Lonchura striata: one gene and its partner. The protein of the gene in region 1 purifies or fractionates together with the protein of each later gene. This does not show direct contact. Links are inferred from orthologs where the notes say so. Each region holds a gene or a part of one and is shown in the gene's direction. Other genes may lie near its edges.

Region 1 (10,080 bases):
TGTCAGTGCTTTAGATGGGATTGGAAATCTTCCTTCTCCAAGATAAACAGGCTTCTGTTAAATTGAGGATTGCCATGTACCATTAAGATGAGCTGTGCTTGCAAATGTAAACAGTCAGTACTTAAGTTCAGGACAAAGGCAGTAGAGAGGGAAGGATTTTCTACATTTCCAAATTTAATTAACCATTTTTTCACAGAGCCAATTGATTTCCAATAGGTAATCTTGAATTTAAACTGACAGAAAACTTTTGTCTATTAAAGAGATCCAAACGAATCTGTGCAAAACTCAGAGGCATTTGGATATATAACTTAGCAACAAAGATTTTATAACTTACCAACAAAGTTTTTATTTATATAGCTGATCTACCAGGGAGCTAACAACTGTTATTCAAGGTAGTTACAGTGCTAACATTTAGTACCTTTTTACAAGCCCTAAAGCCCTGTCATGAAACCACAGATCATCATGTCAGCATAATCAATGTCACAGCAATGATTTGGGTCATAAAAGTTTGTCTCAAAATTTGTGTGTGTGTACAGCCTTGTGTGTTAGAGATTTTACCTCTGCAGTAGAGACTGAAATTACAAACTTTCTCCATGCTGAGTCTGAAGTTATCTTCTCTCTTGTGAATTCTTAAATGGTGTCTTGCTTCATTCTCTAATGGAATGCTTTTGATTTTTTTGCTGCAGGAAACGCTGTATATTGGCTATCCATATGGAACTGAACAAAAAAGTTTATGATGGGAATATGACCGTTGACCCAAGCCAACAATACTCACTGCTGCTCCAGCACACACTGAGGAAGAAACTTTTTTTCCCCACTTAACTGCTGTTAGAAAGTACATATCTGAAATTATTAACAAGAAGTACCCAGTAATGCCAGAACTTTGCTGACAAATTCTGGCTTGCATGCCTCTATAGACTGTCAAAACAGAAGGGAGAGAGAGATCTCCCCCTTTTCAGTAATCAGGATTCCATACTTTTATTTATGTGTTATTTCATGTATATCAAAAGTGCCTGTTGCTGCCAAACACAGGAATTTACAAGCATTTTAGTGTGCTAAGACACTAGATTTTGTATTTTAATACTGTAGTCTCTGAAAGCTTGGTTGAGAATAGTAGCTATTGTATAGCAGTGCAACATACCTTGTTACTGAATACCCCGGGTAAACAGAGTGTAAAGAGATCTAAACTGTATAGCTGTTGGGTTTTCCAAGAAAAAACAAAATATTTTTATTGCTTCATTTGTAGTTTTTAACATACCTTCTAGCAGTTAATACTTAAATAATAAAAAGCCAGCCCAAACCACTGAAACACATTGATTACTTTCCCCTGCACCTAGTAGTGGCAAATGTCTGAGGAAAGCATTCCTACCCAGTAATGCCAGATCTTTGCTAACAAGTTCTGGCTTGCATGCCTCTATAGACTGGCAAAACAGAAGGGAGAGAAAGATGGTCTTTTCAATAATCTGGATTCCATCTGTTTGCTGTATTAAAGATTGCATTGTTAGAACTGTCCACAGCACATGGGGGTTCTGTGTTAATAAATGAGACAGTCTGCCATCTTTGGGCCAAGTATGTTTTCTGCTGATGCAAAATGAGTCTACATGTGACAGGACATTACAGTAATCTGCCACACAGTTAAAAAAATGTGAGATTTTGGCAGATGTCTTGTGGAAGCTGAAACATGATTCACACTCATTGTACCAGGCATAGTTGTAAAAAGAGACTTTAAAATATTTCAACTTAAATGTAGTATGTAGCAGCCATGGGCCTTTAAAACTGGATTATGTTAAACACCCCGCCCTTACCGCATTTGCTTGTGAAAAAGAATATGCCTCTATTAACTCATTTTTTTCCCAAGTGCTCTTGTTCTTGTGAAAAAAGAAAAGGGAAAATTGTCCTAATTACAAAGCTTTTTCTCCAATGTAGCAGTTGCTTAACTAAAAGTTAACTGCCTTAAAGTTCAGTTAGCCTACTTGTATAACAGTATAACCTGGATGGGTTGTATTGAAGTTTATTGTCACTGAACTTAGTGACAATAAAGTAGGCCACTTGTAAATATTTAATTTTTACTCCTAATATACTCCTATGCGGGAAAATAATTCAAGGTCCTGCTGTGCTTTGCTTGGTTTCTGTTTAAATTTTTAATGGAAAAAAGGAAGGATACAGAATGACAGATGTGGAATCTTAGGAGGTACTTCCTCTGGTGGTTGGTAGATAAACTAAATGGTAAAACAAATGTTTCCTGTGCTTGTAGAAATATGCTGTCATTTCAAATTTCATATATCTAAGTAATATTAATATATGTGATCTTCTTCACAGATTAACTTCACTTTCCCATTTCCTTTACTAGCTTTTGCATTTGACAAGCACTTCTGCTACCCCATAGACAACCAAAAGCAGAGAGAATGGAATCAACAGGAGGCAGATGAGGAAAAGAAATGTGAAAATTTTAAGCAGGAACAAGAAGGGGAATGGTAGGGAGCATCAAGAGAAGAACAAGTAGATGATTTGGATGAGAAATACAGTATCAATATTGGAAGGAGAAGAAAACGGGAAAAAGGAAGTGAGAATAATAGTGGTTGTCTTTACAGACTCTAATGATGTGGTGAGTTGGTTGATGTTTTGTGGGCTGGTTGGTTGGGGGGTTTAGAGTGATGCTAAATGCAACTGTTTACTTAAGATATTAGTAGTAGAATAGATTCTGCTTTTACAGTTTTGTGACAAATTTGGTTTGGGGGTTAAGAAGTATATATGTTCTTTGCCTTACTGCAAGACAGTAAGTCCATGTCCCTTTCATTAATAAATTATGCAGAAATGCTGTTTTGAAAACTAGAGGCTCATGTAATTAACCCTTTCAGTGGAAAAGGAAGGGACACTGTGCATGGCTGCTTGGTTGGAAGTGGTTATAATCCTCTAGAGTTGTGGGGATAGACATGTATTGTGCAGCATTCATGGGTGTCAGATACTGATTTTTTACACTGATCCTCTGTAGATTCCCAAACGTAGCCATACGCAATCTATAATCATTCATCTAAGCAGTATTTATTGCCTTGGCACCTCTTTCAAGTGTGGTGTTCAAGCAAGCTGATCCCCTGTACCTGCTGCATAGTGAGTATTTATGCAGGACTTCTGTGATGGCTCTTCTGTCACTTCTCCCATAGCTTATAGGATCACAGACTCATAGAATAAGCTGAGTTAGAAGGGACCCATCAGGATCATAGAGTCCAACTCCTGGCCCTGCACAGGACACCCCAAGAATCCCGCCATGTGCCTAAGAGTGTTCTCCAAAAGCTTCTTCAGCTCTGTCAGGGTTGGTGCTGTGACCACTTCCCTGGGGAGCCTGTTCCAGTGCCCAGCCACCCTCTGGATGAAGAATTGAAGAACCTCTTCCTAAATTCTACCCTAACCCTCCCGTGACACAGTTTCATTTCTCAAGTCCTGTCAGTGGTCACCAGAGACAAGTGGTTGATACCTCTGCCCCTTTGCTTCCCTTCATGAGGATGTTGAAGACTGCAGTGAGGTCTCCCCTCTTCCTCCCCAGGCTGAACAAGCCAAGTGAGCTCAACCCCTCCTCAGAGGGCCTCCACTCCAAAACCCTTACCAGGTTTCTGTGTCCCTCCATACACATGAGGGGTCCTGTCTCTTCTTGCTGTAGTGCACACATAAAATTTGAGTCTAGAAACGGATGCGGGGTGTGGACTGCATCAAGCTGTCCCTGTACTGCAGGTAGTGAAATGATCTCAGGTTAAATGATCCTTTAGCCAAAAGAAAAAGGGGGAGAGAATTTTGGATCCATCATGAGTTTAAGGTGTTAGCACAGGAACATAGAGAAAGCAGAAAGCAAACACTAGTAACACTTAAATCTTCAATACAGCTGGTGAAATTTCGTGGTCTTGGACTGCCAAAATGTCTAATTTTCAGAACATACTGTTGGAGGAGATAAAACAAGTTACGCTGCTCCTGCATTGTCAGAGGTTGGAATAAGGCTGTCAGAGTCAATGCTTTGGCACTTAATTACAGTTTTGGTTTCTGATAACTGGAAGAAAATTTCTTGTAGTTCTGTATGTGCTCCATATATAGAAGGTGATGTCTTTAAGTGGCTCAGAAGCTGTATGCAAGAGGCAAGAGATTCAGTGGTGTTTTGTACCAGACTTGAGTTGCATGGTTTTTCTCAGCCACCTACACTGATGTGGCTGAGCCGTAAATTGAGCTCATTATCCAAAATAGAATTTATATTCAAGAGGATGTTACTGTGGTATAACTTGTAGATGGAGCATGTTGTATGGCTGATCTCCCCTTTCAACTCTGCATAAGAAGTAACAGTGGCTCCTATTACATATACCTGAGTCAGAGAAGCTTTTTATGGGAGTTTCTGAGAATTATTTTCTGTTTTCCAGAGTTTTAAGTTTCTGACATGCAGAACAGTATTGCTGAGGAGTATTGCTGTCTGTGTGGTTGATCTATATTCAATTTAAATTAAATCTCCTGTACTGAATTATTTGACAGCTTTTCTGTGGCTGGTTTAAATTATGTCTATTTTTCAGCTTCTGTATTAGAAACAATAATAAGACACTATGACTGGATACAAATGCTCAGTTTCATGGTGATATTCTGAATAAAATTTCTGTATGCAGTCAGACTGATTGTCCCTGTCTCCCTCTAGGCCATAGGATAACTCTGAAATTCTTGGTCTGTTTATCTTGCAGACCTATATAACTTGTTAAATTAGGCTGTGAAGTTTACAGTTCTATAAAAACGAGCTGACATAATAAAGGACAGCAAGACTTACAGTTTCAGCAGGTAACTCAGCTGCTCTCGGTGTGTTGGACAACTTTTGGCATGAACAAGGAGACACTTTTCATCCTGCCTCCACTGACGCGAGGTTGTGGGGGATACAGATGCTGAAGGCCCCAAGGAGCCTGCACTGAGCAGAGTCTGCTCACCTTCCTCCTCCTCCCTCTACTGCTGCGGACACGGACACGCAGCCCCACGTACAAATGGTGTTGCAGCCCTCTCCCGCAAGCGCTCCTCTTCAAGCTTCCTTCCAGCGGGAAACAAACATTCAAATAATGTGCCTAAAACGTTCGAGGCCTTTTTGCGATGTAGCCTGCTTTAACATGGCTTGGCAGCAAAAGCGAGGCGAATTACGGGTCACGTCTTACACTTCGTACCCCGGGCGCTGCCTGAAGGCTTTTCCCGTTCCCGGGCGCGGCAGGGCGGGAGGGGGCGGTGCCGCCGCTCCTGGTGGAAGCCTCGCGGGCCCTGGCAGCCGCGGCCCGCTCCTTCCCTCGCACTCCCCACTCCCACATTCCGCCCTGCTGCTGGCGCTGCCTCCCGCCGCCTGCTCGGGCAGAGCCGGGACACGCCTCCCCCGCCCGCGGCGAGCCGCAGAAGGGCCCGCGCAGGGAGCCGCGAGCCGCCGGCACGGCTAGCTGCCGGGAGAGGGATCGGGACTGGAACTCGTGTGAGAGGTACCAGAGCGTGGGGCTGAAGGGGAGAGGGCTCGCAGGAAGGCTCCGTCGCTCGCGTTGTGCGGTGGCTCCCGGCTGCGCGCTCCTCGGGGCGCTCCTGCCCACGTGCGCCGGCGGGCCCGGCTGCGGTTCGCGCGCTCCGCCTTGCCTCGGGCTTAACCCGCGGGGCACTGCTCCGGCCAGATACAAAGCTTAAAGCAAAGGTAATTTTACAATTCCTATCCTGCTTATTTCATACGATTTTCCTTTTCTGAGGCGATATCTGAAAGCATACATCAGAGATGCGGACTGGTTACTTTTCTGTGTCGATGCCCCGAGGCAGCTGTGGATATGCGGGTGAGCCGCTCCAAGCCTGGGCAGCGAGCAGATCCTGCACTGATTGTGCTCCCCCTTGTAGAAACCTTTGCTTCTAATTGCTATAAGCAAAAAATTGAAGATCTACCAGTTAGAAGGCACTGGAGCACCTTCTTATCTATTTAACCTTCCACGGGCAGAATTGAACTGCCTAGGCTCCATGGAAGAAGTCGGTGTAGTAGAAAGTCGATTAGTCTCTGTTAAACCTGAGTAAGAGAGAGTTGCTTGTGCAGAGCCTATTTAGACTGAGCATTGAGTGCTATTACATTTTAACTGCCAGTTACTTGTAAGGGAGGCTTATAAGGGGTTTTCTATGCCAACTGTCAAATACAATCCGGAAGCAAATTACAGCTGGGAGTGGATGGTTATTCCACAGCTTCTGTTTGGGTGTCAGCCTTGTAACAGAGGAACACCTTCCTGGTACAGCCAGAGAACAAGCTCTTGGACTGCAGATCAAGGAATATGCACAAACTACTGTGCTGTCTCCATTAATAGTTGTAATAAGTTACTGCAGGGACTCTTCCCCATTACAACAGAAAGACGCAAAGATCTGAATGTGGAAGATGTTCAAAAGAAAAGAAGATTCAGACCTTGAGGTCATCTTGCACAGTTTTTTGCTCAGAGCAGGGCTAACTTCAATTATAGACCGGGTTGTTTAGAGCTTCTGCCAGATCTGGTCTTTCTGTGTTCTGTGTTTAGACAAGGAAGTAAATTTCAAATTTATTTAAAACCTTTATTTATTAAAAGATAATTCAGGGCTTCCAAACAACCATTGGATAAAATTTTAGTAGAAGGATTGCTGTATTGAAGATTTAAGTGTTACTAGTGTTTGCTTTCTGCTTTCAGTCAGAGAGAAGCTGTTTCAGCTGTTGGTTCCAGCAACATGGAGAATAATATCAGCTTGAAGTTCCATCAGCAGCTTTTTCTTATTAGTGAAAGTCTGGTGACTGAAGATGTAGCAGCTTTAAAATTTCTCTGTACTGACTTGCTCCACCTCAGTAGACTAGAAGGTGTGAAGTTAGCAACAGACATCTTCAAGCTCCTTATGGCTCAAGAATATCTGAATGCAGAAGATACTTTCCTACTAGCTGAACTCTTATATAGAATTAGATGTCACTCCTTGCTCAAGAAAATTGGTTACACCAAGGAGAAAGTACAAGAACATCTGAGTGAGAAGGGAAGAATATCTCCATACAGGTAAGCTTGCAGTGGAATTCTCTTCCCTCCATTACTGCTATCTATGCCATACTGTTTTCTTTTCCATTTTTAAATTCTTAGATTGCCTTTGGTTTTTATGCCATCTTCTGTTCCACTTTTATCTCACTCTGTCTCTGTTACAGGCAGATGCTGTATGAATTGGCAGAGAACATCACCAGTGACATGTTGAAGGAAATAATTTTCCTCCTGCAAAACCATCTTCCAAAGGGATGGATAATTCCTGTATGTGAGGAGTCAAATGAGCCAAATGGTGGGAAGGGAAGAAGGAAGGCAGGAAATAGAAGAAAAAGTGTGAGCAGTGTTTGGCAGAATAGAGCATAATATGCAACTAGGCTGGTTGTATTCATAGGGATAGCAGGAAGGAAGATGTTGACAGGCAAGAGTAGAATTTGGTCCCTCGTGCTAAGGTCAGTCACTGACAGTTCACTGTCTAGCATCAGAGTATAAAAAGGTGACAAATCAAATCTTTGCCCTGCTTGAGCCATATGCAAGGGAGATTGATGTCCATATGTCATTGGTAGTTTCACAGCATTGAAGCCTTCTTGAAGCCACGAGCCATTAATACGGTTTGGGTGAATCTGTTTAAACAAGACCATACCAAATAAAAACACAACCAGTGGCTTCCATGAAGCAACATTTCTGCTGTAATGGTGATGTAAAATTGACTGGTCCTTGTTGGTAGGGAGCAAAGCAGATAATAATGTGATTGTTTGAGACAGGGCTGAGAGGCAAGCTTTGATTTCTAAAGAACAATAATTATATTTTACTCTCTCCTTTTGGCTGTCAGTCTGCTTTGGATTTGCTGACTTTATTGGAAAAGCAGGGCCTTTTAACTACAGACAATGTAAAGATACTGGAGGAGGTCTGTATGACTGTTTCACCTGATCTCCTGGAGACAATAAACTGCTACAAAAAGGGAAAAGGTGAGAAATTGATTGTCTAGGAGCAGGTTTGCTAAAATGCAGGAAGTACTATGGGTCTGGGCTACTGAACTTAAGGTCATATGTGTGTATTGCTAAATGGGAGCTAGAGTGGCATAAATCTGGCATAACAACTCCAAGCCTGCATAATTTCCTAGCTGAATCCCTGAAATAAAGGGATGTGCTGGAATATCTGAGCAACCCAGAGCACATACAGAACAGGGTGGGAAACTGAAAATCTGCTGATAGTTATGTCTCATTTGTCCATTTCCCCACTAATAGTATTGAGATGATGACAACTGTCCTGTAAAAGGCACTTGGGGATCTGTGAATGTGAATCTGGCAAGACACACTGTGTGGGTTTATGTGTGTCTGATACATGGGCTATGAGCAAACAAATTATTTATGGTTTTATATTTTTAAAAAATAGATTTATTATTGATTAATGAGAAAAATTGACAACTTCAGTAGTAAGAAGGCATATTCTTTTTAAATACTGGTAATTTCTAAGATGATTTCCAGATGAAAAATTTATTTGAATGTCTTGGAGAATTTATCCTTGTACCATGGGTATCTTTAATTTGCAGTATCGATACAAATAGAAGCCTTGCCTTTGTTACAAAAATACATCTAATAAAAATAAGCAAAAAATAGATCTAGAATATCAGAATAGATCTATTGAACATGACCATGCTATTTTGTATGGAATAATTATTTCTTTCAGTGAAAGAGTATTTCAAATACAAAAAGTGATGTATTGTAGCTAAACTCCTTTTTGTTGCATCCACAAATATTGGATTTATCTTCATAAATACCTATGCTGGGGTTTTTTCTAGATAACAAGAAAACTAATTTTACACAAAGCTTCTCTGAGCTAAACCTGGAGCTGCGTGGAGAATTCAGCAATGTAGAAAATGAACCCAAGGTTTGAGACAATCTCTTAAATCCTTTTTGAATACCTGCGGGTGTGAGGTTTTCATCCTCCCTTGAATGACATTTATCATGCAAGGGCTTGTGAAATATCAGGCTCATAAAGTTTCTTGAGTTGACTGATAAATTTGAATGTTTCAAAGAATATTTTAACCTTGGAGGCCAGAGATTTAGCAATATTGAAAGGTATCTTGTAGGCAAAATGGACATAATACCTCTGAAGTGATTCACACATCAGTGTTTATCTTCCTGATAAAGGCAAAACATTTTGCATTTTGGTGATGGCAGTAGAACGTGCAAGACACAGAGACAAATGGAGTTTCACAGTTCTCACTTTTTGCATCTGGTTTCAAAACAGCCTCAGGGCATCTTGAAATTAGAAGTCATAAGGGGTAGCATGCAAAGCCTTTGTTAGAAGGATTAAAAGGAGGCCAGAGTTTTTAGTAAGCTATTGCAGAGGTCTTGGTATATGAGAAAAGATCCTTTTTGTGAGATCCCCTCTTACAGGCCTTTATGTGCACTCTTTAACCATAGCAGTGTAACCATTGAATTCTCCCTCTGGCCTTTTCTTTGTGACGACCATGGATATTGAAAAAGCAAGTTGCTCCATTTGTTTATAGCCATTTAATTTCTTGAAGTTCTGTGCTGTAACATCTTTTCATCACCTGATGTTCAGACTGCTGCAAAGCTGTTGAAGGAACTTGGAGTGCTTCCTTCATTTTCTCCTACTAAAATGCACAAAAGGAGGTGTGTATTGCTCTCTAGTGAGGAGGAAGGGACTCTGGTGGATGGAGTTTTTTATTGCAACCCAAGGTTGGACTTAAATTCATGTTACTTGAAATGTTGGTTCTTTTCAGCTTTAAAAATGCTTTTGGTTTTGTTTTCTTTTTAAAAGTGGGAGGTAATTTTAAATCTTAACCAAAAAACTTGTAGTGTGATAGGTTTATGTACTTCTGAGATTGCTGTTCTGCTTCCATCCTTTTCCAGTGGATCAGTATGAATCACCTAGTCCAGGTATTTATTACCGTTCTCAAAAAAAAGCCAACTCAGATGTCTAACTTCCCATAGTTTCAGTGTGATCTCTCTGCTATTAAGCTGAAATACTGTTTTTGGCATTGGAAGCAGTTGGGGTCTTCTGTCCCCGTCACCAAACTCAGAGTTTGGCTGCTAAATCCTGCCTCTTGCAT
Region 2 (10,476 bases), on another chromosome or scaffold:
CTGAAAGGAAAGAGAGTCATTATCTCAAACCAGAGTATTATCTCAAACCAGAGTTTTCAGCTTGAAGTTTGCCCCTTATTGGTCCCTCCCCCCTGACTTATTTCTGTCAAGCCCAGCAGGATTTGTGCAGCCAAATGCCAGATTCACAGGCTGGCCAGCATCTGCTTGTCAGAGGAGACCTCCCCAGCACTGAGTTTTCACTTGAGTGTCTCAGGACTCTGCTTCATCACAGAACTAGGATTTAAAAATATAATTGAATGTGGAGTTTGCTGAGGGAGGAGTGTGCAGGGTGTTTTGGGGGGTGGGGAAGTGTGGGTTTCTTTTATTTACTCCTTCCTCTTGTTATGTCACTTGTTAGAAGTGTGTATACCTTTATTGCCCAGGGGTTTTCAGTAGGAATTACCTGAAGCTGGACATGACCGAATTCTTAAACAGCCCTTCTTAAAGCAGACACTGGCTATGAACTAGAGAACTCCCAGCTCTATCCTGTGCTGATAAATGGGACTGCATGTTGAAATCCCAATCACATATTCAGATTTCCAAGTTGACAATTGCAGATGTAAAACCAAATGTAATTCTAATCTGGTCCCTTAATACCCTGCTCCCTCTATACTGGGCCTGACTTAGGTCTAAGGAATTGATGCATTCTGTGGAAAGGTACCAGTGATAAAGCTTGTCCTGTAATGAACACGTGGGCAGTGTGCCATGGAAATAAAGCATCCGAAGGAACCTACTGGCCCAATTATGGTTTTGCAGACTTGAGAGTGTGTTCTGGTAAGAAATTGGAGATTGAACCACAGATTCCACCTGCTACTGCCACGCTGCTTTTAGTAATCTTTTAACTTCCTTTAAAAAAATTACCATCAGGTAAGAGATTGCCTAATGTTTTCCTTTCATGTGGGCTCTTGAGTAATTTTTTACTTTCAGTTTTAATAATGTCATGCAATCTTGCTTTCAAAATTTGGTTCTATGGAATCAAGTCTCTTAAATTGGTTATTAACTTTATGTAGAAATAATAATTTCTAATGAAGACAGTTTATACATCAGAAATTCCTGTGTGACTGTCTCATTATTGCAAGCAAAGGTTGGACAGCTGTTGGTGTAAAACACCTAAAAGCAAAGTGTGTGCTGGAGTGAGGATGGTGTCCCTCAGTCCTTGGGCAGGTCCTGTGAAGGTTTCCATGTGAGGGTGGATGGGTGCAAACACACCTGGTGTAAGTGCATTGCTGTGTTTGCCAAAGTAAGGTGTTCATATACATTCAATATCAGTGGAAATCCAGGCTTTCTTGAAGATGCAGACCCTACCAGCCTGTGTGGTGATGTAAGCAGAAAACTCAGATCTGAGGTGGTGTGTGGCTTCTGCTTTTGCCAAGTTACAGCACGAGGTGGAACAGCTTAGCAGGTTTTGCTTTGTGAGGTACAAAAATGTTCCACTTCATTTGGAACAGAGAAGTGGAGAGCCCTGCCCACGGGGTGCTGTGGGGTGTCTCATCTCCTGGAAACCCTGAGTGTCCAACAGCAGCTGCTGCTGGGCTTGGTGACAGCTCCAGGGCCTCTTCCCACAGGTGACAGCTCAGTGCGGAAGCTCACTCACCTTGACAGCCCTTCTCCAATTTAAGCAGAATGGATTTGGAAGAAGCTTCCAAGGAGGCTCCTGCTGCCTTGCTGCTCTCTGGTCCTGAACAGGGGCTGGCCCTTGCTCTGCTGCTTTCCACTGAGTCACCAGGAGCTCCCACGCAGCAGGGCAGCTTTTGGGAGGCGATGCAGAGGAGCTGAGCTCTGCCCCTCGTGGACCTAGAGATGGAACAGAAACGTTTGCCACCTTGGGGCCAGTTTTTCTGCCCTGTTAGATGTGGTTGGAGCCTCCGTCCAGCTGCGGTGCCCTCTGTGAGCTCGCAGCAAACAGCAGCCCCTGTCTGCTGCTTCTCTTTTCCCAGAAAAATAACTGGAAGCAGCTTCTGTGAGTTGTAATGCCACAGTTACCGTTTTGTTTGAATGGGCTGAGGCTGGCTGCTCCCAAGAAGAAATAAACCTGTCAAGCACCAGGCAAGCCCCCCTGGCCAGCAGAGCCAGCTGCTGTTTGCCAGGGCTGGGGCTGGCTTTGTGCCCAGAGGCTGGGGCAGGGCACAGACCCTGCAGAAGGGCTTGGGAATGAGACCCTTGGCAATGTCTGTCCTCCCTTCAGCTGCGGGGACAGGGACTCAACACCTGCACTTCTCTTGGTCTTCCTCACAGCTGGCCACAGCACCTTGTTCTGTTTTGCCCTGTGGCACCATGGAATGACCCTGCTGCTGTTTCTCAGAATAGATCCCCTGACCTCATAACCACTATACCTCATTTCCCTGCTCTCACCACAAGCACAGAAGAAATGAAAGCAGCAGAGTAATATTTTAGGTACTCCTCTTGTTCTCATCTGCTTCGGGCCCATGTGTTTTCTCTCACCCTGTCTTGCTGAATCCAGGGCTGCTGGCTGCTTGTTGGAATCAGGGTGAAGGAGGGGACAGAGCACCTTGCTCACTGGAAGAGGGATGCGTTAAGCACTGTAATGCCAGGGCAGAGCTGTTATCAGTGGACTTGAAAACCTGTTCTTGTGTGTGAATATCTGAATGTCCTTGTCATGGCTTATATGTGCAACAAATGCTCCTTGCAAGGAGAGCAGTTGTTGAGGAAATGAAGAGCATCACCTGTGTTTGAGAAACCAAACTGTTAATAAACACAGAATAAAGAAAACAACATGAAGATGTTGGTGCTAACTGCAAAGGCTGGGTGAGTTCTGCTATCTTCCACACCCCTCTGAGGCTTCAGCAGATGGAGGCCCACTCCCTTTGAAGGCAGCTCTCACAAGCATTCATACCAGTGTTCAGTCAAAAATCCATCTTTTCGTTCAAACTCCTTCAGATTTGGCTCACAACTCGTGGCTCCTTGGGAAGCTTTTTTATCCTGTGAGATTTAAGAGCTGGAAATCATCCCTCTCTTTACAGGTTTTCCACACGCTGTCCATCCCTCCCGGCCAATCTGCTCTTGAACAGACAAATTTGAACCTCCTTTCTGTCCAACAGTTCCTGCAACTTCTTCCAGAGCCTCTCTGGAGTTGAACAAAGACTTGTGAAGTGATTCCAGGAGTGTCTGTGCTGTCCAGAGCTGTGTGTGAGCTCTCACGGGAGCTTTCCCTGTGGGCTTTCCCTGCTGGAAGCTCATGTCCAGCTGAGGTGCCTCTCAGCTTCAGACTTGTTTTCTTTCTAGCACATTGTTTTCTACCCAAAGAGCTTGATCTTCAGTCTTTGTTCCTTGCCTTGTTTTCTTCTGATTCAATTCTCTGTCCTAATGATGTTGAATCCTGTGTTTTTGAATGTGAATGATTCTCAACTTTCCCAGTTGCTCTTGGGTGCACTTCCTGCGGCTTTCAAGAGCTGCTTTTTACCATTTCCACTAGTCATTAGTGTAATAGGAAATAGTTGTTAATTGCTTCCAGAGAGACTGTCCAAAACACAGTGAGAGCCTCTCCTACACAGAGGTTCACACTTCAGTTTTTGTTTTGAGTTTCAGGGTTTATTTTCTGTCAAGTATTAGATCTGGATCATTGTTCAAGTCCTGCTTTCTTCGGGCTGTTTCAGGCAGGTCCCTAAATTCTGCTGATACAAACTCTTAGCTGCTGGCTGATTCTCTGCCATCAACTTTAACATAATTGTGTGTCTTGTTAATAAGAGTTCCCACCTCTCCTCTGCGGGTGAATTGGGGAAGGAGAGTGTTCTTCTGAGCAAATCCTCTTTTGCAGTCTGTGTAATGTTTTTGTTGGTTTGGTAAAGGGGAACAATTTCTGGTGAGGGCTATGGAAGGTGCTTCCATTGGAAAATATTCCTTCATGTTCAAGTGATGTAACAGGGCTGCTGGAAACAGGGTGTACAGACAGGTTCAAGAGGGGGATAGGGTGGTGGAGGCAAATCTGACACCCCTTTTGTCCTCCTTTATGCCCTGTTTTCCTGCCCAGCTGTCCTTGTTAGGATGGCCTCAGCCTTGTCTAAATTCTGGCTCTAGGCCTTCTAGCAAAATTCACGTGCCTGAAGTGCCCACCTACAGCAAATTGTCCTGCCATTATTTCAGTGGTCCTGTTCATATCCTGTGTCATTTGAGCATTGAAGCCAGCAGAACACAGAGCCTGCAGGCACCACAACCTGCTTTCTTTTTTGGACTAGAGGATTTCCAGAGGTCCCTTCCACCCCCAGCCATCCTGTGGCTCTGGGATTCTGATGTGCTCTGCAGACACAGCCCTGCCTGGCACCACCTCCCAGTCAGTGTCTGGCATCTTGTGGTGTCTGAAGGGGGTGGCAGGAAAACGGAGAGTGACAGCAGGGCCAGCAGAGGGAGAGGTCCCTGAAAGCATTTTGTGCACTAAGCATTTTTGATGGTAAAACAGCCCCAACCTTTGGTTTGCCACCACATGGGGTGTTAGCAGGATCTTGGGCTCTTCATCTGGGCATCCAAAAAAGAAGGTGCAGCTGAAATTGCTTCAGTTGGTTTCCTTGTCTCTCCCTCTCACCCTCCCTTTAAAAAACATCTTTGTGAAAGCGGGAAGCAGTGGGTGTGGAGTAAGAATACTAGTGACATTTAAGGGAAACTGCTACTCTCTCCTCAGTCCCACCTCAACAAGCTGTTGGCATTAACACAGTGTCAGAAAAATGTGGAATGGATCCTCTCCAGGCAAAGCCATAGTGTGACCCTCTCTTGTAATGGCTGTGGGAGGGGATGGGGACTTGGGTGGCTGTTCTGGGACAGAGACAGGGGGACTGAGCCAGGCTAGGCACAACCAAGCTTGAACTTGTTAGGGTTGGATTTCTTCTGCTCTTGTGTCTCTTAAACCCTGAAGTGTGAGGAAGAGCTAGATGGAGTTGTTGAAACCTGTAATGTGGATGGCTGCTGAAGCAAAAGGCTGGTGAATATCTCCAAAAAGCAGTGGGGTGTCTGGTGGTGCAAGACATTGTCAGCACATCTGATTTATTGGTGTGGTTGCAGGCAAAGCTGAGCCCTTGCTTCAGAGAAACAAGTGTACAAAGGTTTGAATGTGCCTTTTACAGATCCCAGTTTTGATGTTCAAGATCAAAGTCTGTGTATTGTGATTGCTTCCTTCAGCCACAGGAGAAATTAATCTCTGGTTTGCTCTTGTATTAATCATTTCCTTTTTTTGAACACTACCCCATAAAAATACACACTTCAACAGGGGTCTGTAAAGTGCAAGGAAAAGTGTCCCTAATTGCTTGTGTGCACCTGTAAATCTGTGGGGAAATCTCACTGTCCCCACTTAGAAATCTGCAGTACATGAGGAATGGAAATCGAGAAATGGATATGTCCCTGTCTCTTTTCATTAGGGTATTGTAACGAGCTCTTGAAAGTGCTGCTCCTTTCGGCATGGTCCGGACTCTCTATTTTTCCTCGGAAGGTGAGAGGGCAGCCGCGGAGCTGGCTCTGCTCCCGCTGGGGCAGCTCTGCCCGCCTGCCTTCCTGCCCTCCGAGGCTTTGAGAGCTCCGTGCGCTGCGGAGCTGCGGGCTGGCCGCCAGGAACGGAGCGACCCCCGCATCCCCCGGGCTCGGCTCCGCATCCCCCGGGCTCGGCTCCGCATCCCCGGCCCCGGGGGCTCCCCCGCTCCGCATCCCCGGCCCCGGGGGCTCCCCGGCTCCGTGCCTCCCGTGCGGTGCGGGGTCCGGAGGCTTTGCCGTTCCTGCGGCCGGCCGGACCCGCCGGCGGTCGGGAGTGCGGAGGCAGCGGCCCGGGCGCTTTTGGGGAGCGGCTGCGGCTGTCGGAGCGGGGCTGTGGGAGGAGGGTGGCTCCCGAGCCCCAGCCGGGCCGGAAGGGGCTTTGCTGCCGATGCTGCGAGGCTTTCGGAGTCGCAGCATCCCTCGCAGCCGCACGGATGCAGCCGTACCAGGGCAGAGCCGCCCCCGGGGCTGGCCCGGCGGGGCTCGGGCGCCGCAAGGACGAGCCCGGCAGGCAGGTCCGGCCCGTGCCGCTGCCGCCCGTGCAGCAGAACCTCAATTATTACCCGCAGATCTTCTGGGTGGACGGCTGTGCCGATGCTGGGGCTGCCCCCGCCGCTCCCTTCCCGCCGCCCGTCCCCGACCGGAGCACAAAGCCACGCAGCGACCGGGAAAGGAGAAGTGTCGGCTTCCTCGTCATGTTCTTGCTGATCCTGGTGGCCTTCACCGGAGTGGGGCTGAGCATATTTAAGATTTTTCACCTGGAGAAGGAGGTGGATGAACTCCGAGAGGTGAGGTCTGCCTGGCTGGGAGCAGGTCCCTGGGGAAACGGGGAAAAGGAACTCTTGGAACGGGGCTGAGATGTTCCCAAGGGGCAGGATGGGGGCATTTCGGTGGCATTTCTCTGTCTGCTTGTTCCCGTGAGGGACTGCTCGGTTGGTGACTGATTTATCAGCACATCTCTGTGCTCCCGAGCGCTGCCAGCTCTCTCCCCGTGTATTTCTTAGCACTTTGCAGCTCCCCGTGGAGCCAAAACACCAGACTGAGCCACTGTCCAAGGCAGTCCCCAGCTGCTCATGCTCTCAGTCTAAGCCATTGTCCCTCTTCTCTCTTGCCAGTCTGCCAGCGCTGAGCACATCCCTCCAGTCTCTCAGAAACTCACAGGTGAGTCCGTGCCTGCAGGAGGAACCCTCAGTGAAATTGAAACTTTCCACAAGAACCTGCCAATTCTTCTAGATTTCATTTAGGGAAAAAAAAAAAAAAAAAAAAAAGAGAGGTTTCAATTTGGCTGGAACAATTTAAGAATTGTGGTTTGAACTTCCAAACTATTGCTTTTCTTTTGCATTCCATGTTAATGTTATAAGTGAGGATATCCTTTTCAAAAATGACCAAGTCAGAAAGAGATATTCAGTCCTCTAGACAGCTTTTTCTAGATCTGAAAAGTTTTCATCTTTTCCCCCTTGAGAATTTTATTAATTAGAAAATTTATTTTCAAATTTGTTCTGATACTGAATAAAAAAAACCCTGAAATAGCAAAATTCTTGGGAAAGGGAAGTCCTGGTTCTTATCAACTCCTATGCCAATAAATTTTCCTCTTTAGGGGAAGGTGAGCTCTCATTTGAACTGCAATGCCCAGTGCTCTGATCACAGGCTTCTTTAGCAGAGACTGAACATAAATAATAAACCTGAATTTCTTGAGGCAGCTGGATAAAGGGAAATAGTGTAAAGGAGAAGGGGGAGCGGAGAGGAAAATTTAATTGGCTTCTGAAAAGAAAAGGCTGCTTCTGAAATTAGAGAAGATGAAGTAGATGTTGAGGAGAAGTGAAGGGATGGAGTGGGATGGGCTCCAAATACAGAGTCACTGGAATGGGCCCATCTCTCCAAAGGGAACTCAGGCCTGCAGGGCAGGCAGAGCTTTCCCAGCTGTGCTCTCCCTTCCTGAGGGCAGCTCCACTCCCCGCCTGGCAGTGGGATGGAGGCTTTGCAGGGTCTCAGGTGCCCCCTGCTCTCTGGGCTGACTCCTCCGTGGAGCTTGTGGCCAATGTCTTTTCTATCTTTGTGCAGGGCAGGGGAAGGAGGTGAGGAGGGCAGCCCATGTAACAGGTACGTGCTGGGGGAGCAGGGCTGGGCAGTGGGATGGGCTCAGGGGTGCCATGGCAGCCGGGATGGCCTCTGATGGTGCCATGGCAGCTGGGATGGGCTCAGGGGTCCATGGCAGCTGGGATGGGCTCAGGGGGTGCAATGGCAGCTGGGATGGGCTCAGGGGTCCATGGCAGTGGGATGGGCTCAGGGAGGGTCCCATGGCAGCCGGGATGGCCTCTGATGGTGCCATGGCAGCTGGAATGGGGTCAGGGGTCCCATGGCAGCTGGGATGGGGTCAGGGGTCCATGGCAGCTGGGATGGGCTCAGGGGGTGCCATGGCAGCTGGGATGGGCTCAGGGGTCCATGGCAGTGGGATGGGCTCAGAGAGGGTCCCATGGCAGCTGGGATGGGCTCAGGGGTGCCATGGCTGGCGTTATGAGGAGCCCACCCCACAGAGGCTTTGCTGTCCTCCTTGGGTGACATGTCTGCTCTGACAGTGGAAATTTGCTCCTCAGACAGAACCCTCCCCCTCACTTATGCTTCTCAGCAAAACCTGGCTCTGGCTTGGTTTTTGGGGTGTGCAGGGCAGGAGGTGGCACTGGAGCTGGCACTGGTGAGGGGTGAGGCCTGGGAGGACTTCCCACACTGCAGACAAGGCTTGGAGAACGGCTGCCTCGTGACGTGGGGTGCGACCTGAGCAAAAACCACCCGACCCAATGTGCTTCCCACCATTTTGTTGGGTCTCGTTTTGGCTTCCAGGCAACCCAGCCCAGCGGGACCTGCCCCTGGAGTGGGAGCCCACCTCTGGCCATGCCTACACCAGCGGCATCCAGTACCGGGACCGGGGGCTGCTGGTCAGCGAGGCGGGGCTCTACTTCGTGTACTCGCAGGTGCTGTTCCGCGGCAGCGCCTGTGACAGCCACCTCCTGTCCCACGTGGTGTACAAGAGGAACCCGGCCTCCCCGGGCAGCCTCGTGCTCATGGAGGACAAAGCCACCAACTTCTGCAAGGACCAGAGGATGTGGGCCCGCAACAGCTACCTGGGGGCTCTCTTCAAGCTCAGGAAGATGGACAGCTTGCACGTCAACGTCTCCAAAATCGCCCTGGTGAACTTTGAGGAATCCAAGACTTTCTTTGGTTTGTTTAAGCTTTGAAAGGGAGCGTGGCTGGCAGCCCCTTCACACACCCACACCCACACGGATGTGTGAGGGCTGAGTCCTGCCTGGGCACCACAAAACCCAGCCAGAAACCGTGTTTGGGCTTCAGCACGAGGGGATCCAAGCAACTGGGAAAGGCTTGAAAGCGGACACCTGGAAAGCACCAGGCTGTGCTGCATCAGCCTGAAGAGAATTGCACATATTCTCCTTACAAAAACCCCAACAAACTCAGAAAGTGGCGTGCAGAAGACCCTGCTGGAACTCACTACTGCCTGAGAAGATGGTGGGATCTGCTGCTCCCCGTGGTGTCACAGCCCTGGTGGGGACAGCTGGGGGGTGTTATGGAGGTGTCTGGGTCGTGCCACGACACCACAGACAGTGGTGTGGGGATGAGCAGTGTGAACAACTGCTCCCCTTGAGCCATGGCAGGCGCTGCCCAGCACTGTGGGACTGCTGTACCACAGGCAGCTCCTGCTGTCTGGGCTGGGATAGGTGCTGTGTTCATTTGGTGTTAAGCTATGGACCGTTCCCAACCCAGAAAATGCTCCCCAACCACTTTATTTAACTCATCCCAGCTGCCTTGCAAGGAACATGCCAGCAGCAGCAGTGCCCTGAGGGATGTCCCAGAGGTGGCAGCGTGACCACCCCATGGTGGTGGGGATGGTGGGGTGGCCACGGGCTCTGCTGGTGCAATCTAAGCAACACAGCAGCGCAGGGCAGTGGGGCTTGAGGTGGAAGCAGCATCTCGAGCCCCCCTGCTGCCCTTTCAGCACAGGAGGGTTCTCCATGGAGGCCTGGTCTGCCAGCCCTTTCCTGATGCAGCTGGTGACATGCTGGCACCTGTCTTTGGCTGGGTCCTTGCCATGAGATATTCCCTCCTGAGAAAAACACAGATAGTAAATATATATTTTTCTAGTGAGTGGTCCTCTCCTCATTTGGTGCAACAGGCTGGGCCATGGCCAAAGCACTGCAAAGCCTCTGTGATCAGGGGTCAGTGCCTCATTCCTTCTCCAGCAGCGTGGCAGAAATCTGGGAGCCTCATCCCTCTTTGCTGCCCACTTGGCACTGCACAAGGCCCTTTCCATGAGGCTTTGGAGCTCCAGCACTGAAACAGCAGGATCTGGGGCTGGGAAGGTGTGGTGTGGGCAGCACAGAGCAGGCAGCCCGAACCCATGCTGGCCACCAGGAAGGGCTGAGCTCAATTCAGAGCTGGAGAGGAGCTGGGCACTGGTGGCTGAGCAGAAGTGCTGCTGCCTGTCTCCAAAGGCACCACTGTGTGACCTCTGGCCCCAGAAACACTTCTCACAGAGTGGTCTAAGGGCAAAGAAACAAAGTGGTGTAAAAAAAAACCCCAGAGCCTATTTGTTCATCCTGGTGTCAGCCCCACGGAGTTCTAACCCCGGGGTTGTCACTGCCCCTGCCACCAGCAGGACACAAAGGCTGCAGCTGCTCCATCTTCAGCCTTGCCCATGCTCCTGCCTCCTGCAGCTCTGCTGCTGCTCTCAGTGCCTGTGGCTCCCCAGCAGCCTGCAGCATTTGTTTCCTTTGCCACGGTGCTGCTCGCAGCTTGGTGGCCTGTGGTTTGTGTTGTTTGCTTCAGAGAAGTTTATTTCTTCAAAACTTCTCAGTGGTCTGGCTACTGCTGTAGCCAGAGGGAAGGGAAAAGTGCAGCCCTGCTCACATTGCTGCTGTTTCCACTGCATTTCTCAGGGTGGAAAGTATCTCAAAAGGATGAAGTTCAGGGGTCTTCTGCCTTGACTTTTTCTCT

Evidence for each region. The genes of interacting proteins can lie anywhere in the genome.
Region 2: the proteins of caspase-10 (region 1) and FASLG purify together in Homo sapiens (co-immunoprecipitation; 3 studies listed by BioGRID and IntAct, with this or other methods). This does not show direct contact. The link is inferred for Lonchura striata from reciprocal best matches to the Homo sapiens genes CASP10 and FASLG.

The regions. Positions count from the first base shown.
Region 1 is NC_134610.1:27,085,823-27,095,902, reverse strand, and holds the start of caspase-10, read left to right. Parts: upstream 1-5,354; 5' UTR 5,355-5,674; intron 5,675-6,671; 5' UTR 6,672-6,708; coding exon 6,709-7,022; intron 7,023-7,165; coding exon 7,166-7,265; intron 7,266-7,830; coding exon 7,831-7,966; intron 7,967-8,799; coding exon 8,800-8,888; intron 8,889-10,080. UniProt on the Homo sapiens protein: Involved in the activation cascade of caspases responsible for apoptosis execution. Recruited to both Fas- and TNFR-1 receptors in a FADD dependent manner. May participate in the granzyme B apoptotic pathways.
Region 2 is NC_134611.1:357,133-367,608, reverse strand, and holds FASLG (tumor necrosis factor ligand superfamily member 6), read left to right. Parts: upstream 1-5,854; 5' UTR 5,855-5,906; coding exon 5,907-6,260; intron 6,261-6,587; coding exon 6,588-6,633; intron 6,634-6,716; coding exon 6,717-6,745; intron 6,746-7,547; coding exon 7,548-7,572; intron 7,573-8,310; coding exon 8,311-8,705; downstream 8,706-10,476. UniProt on the Homo sapiens protein: Cytokine that binds to TNFRSF6/FAS, a receptor that transduces the apoptotic signal into cells. Involved in cytotoxic T-cell-mediated apoptosis, natural killer cell-mediated apoptosis and in T-cell development.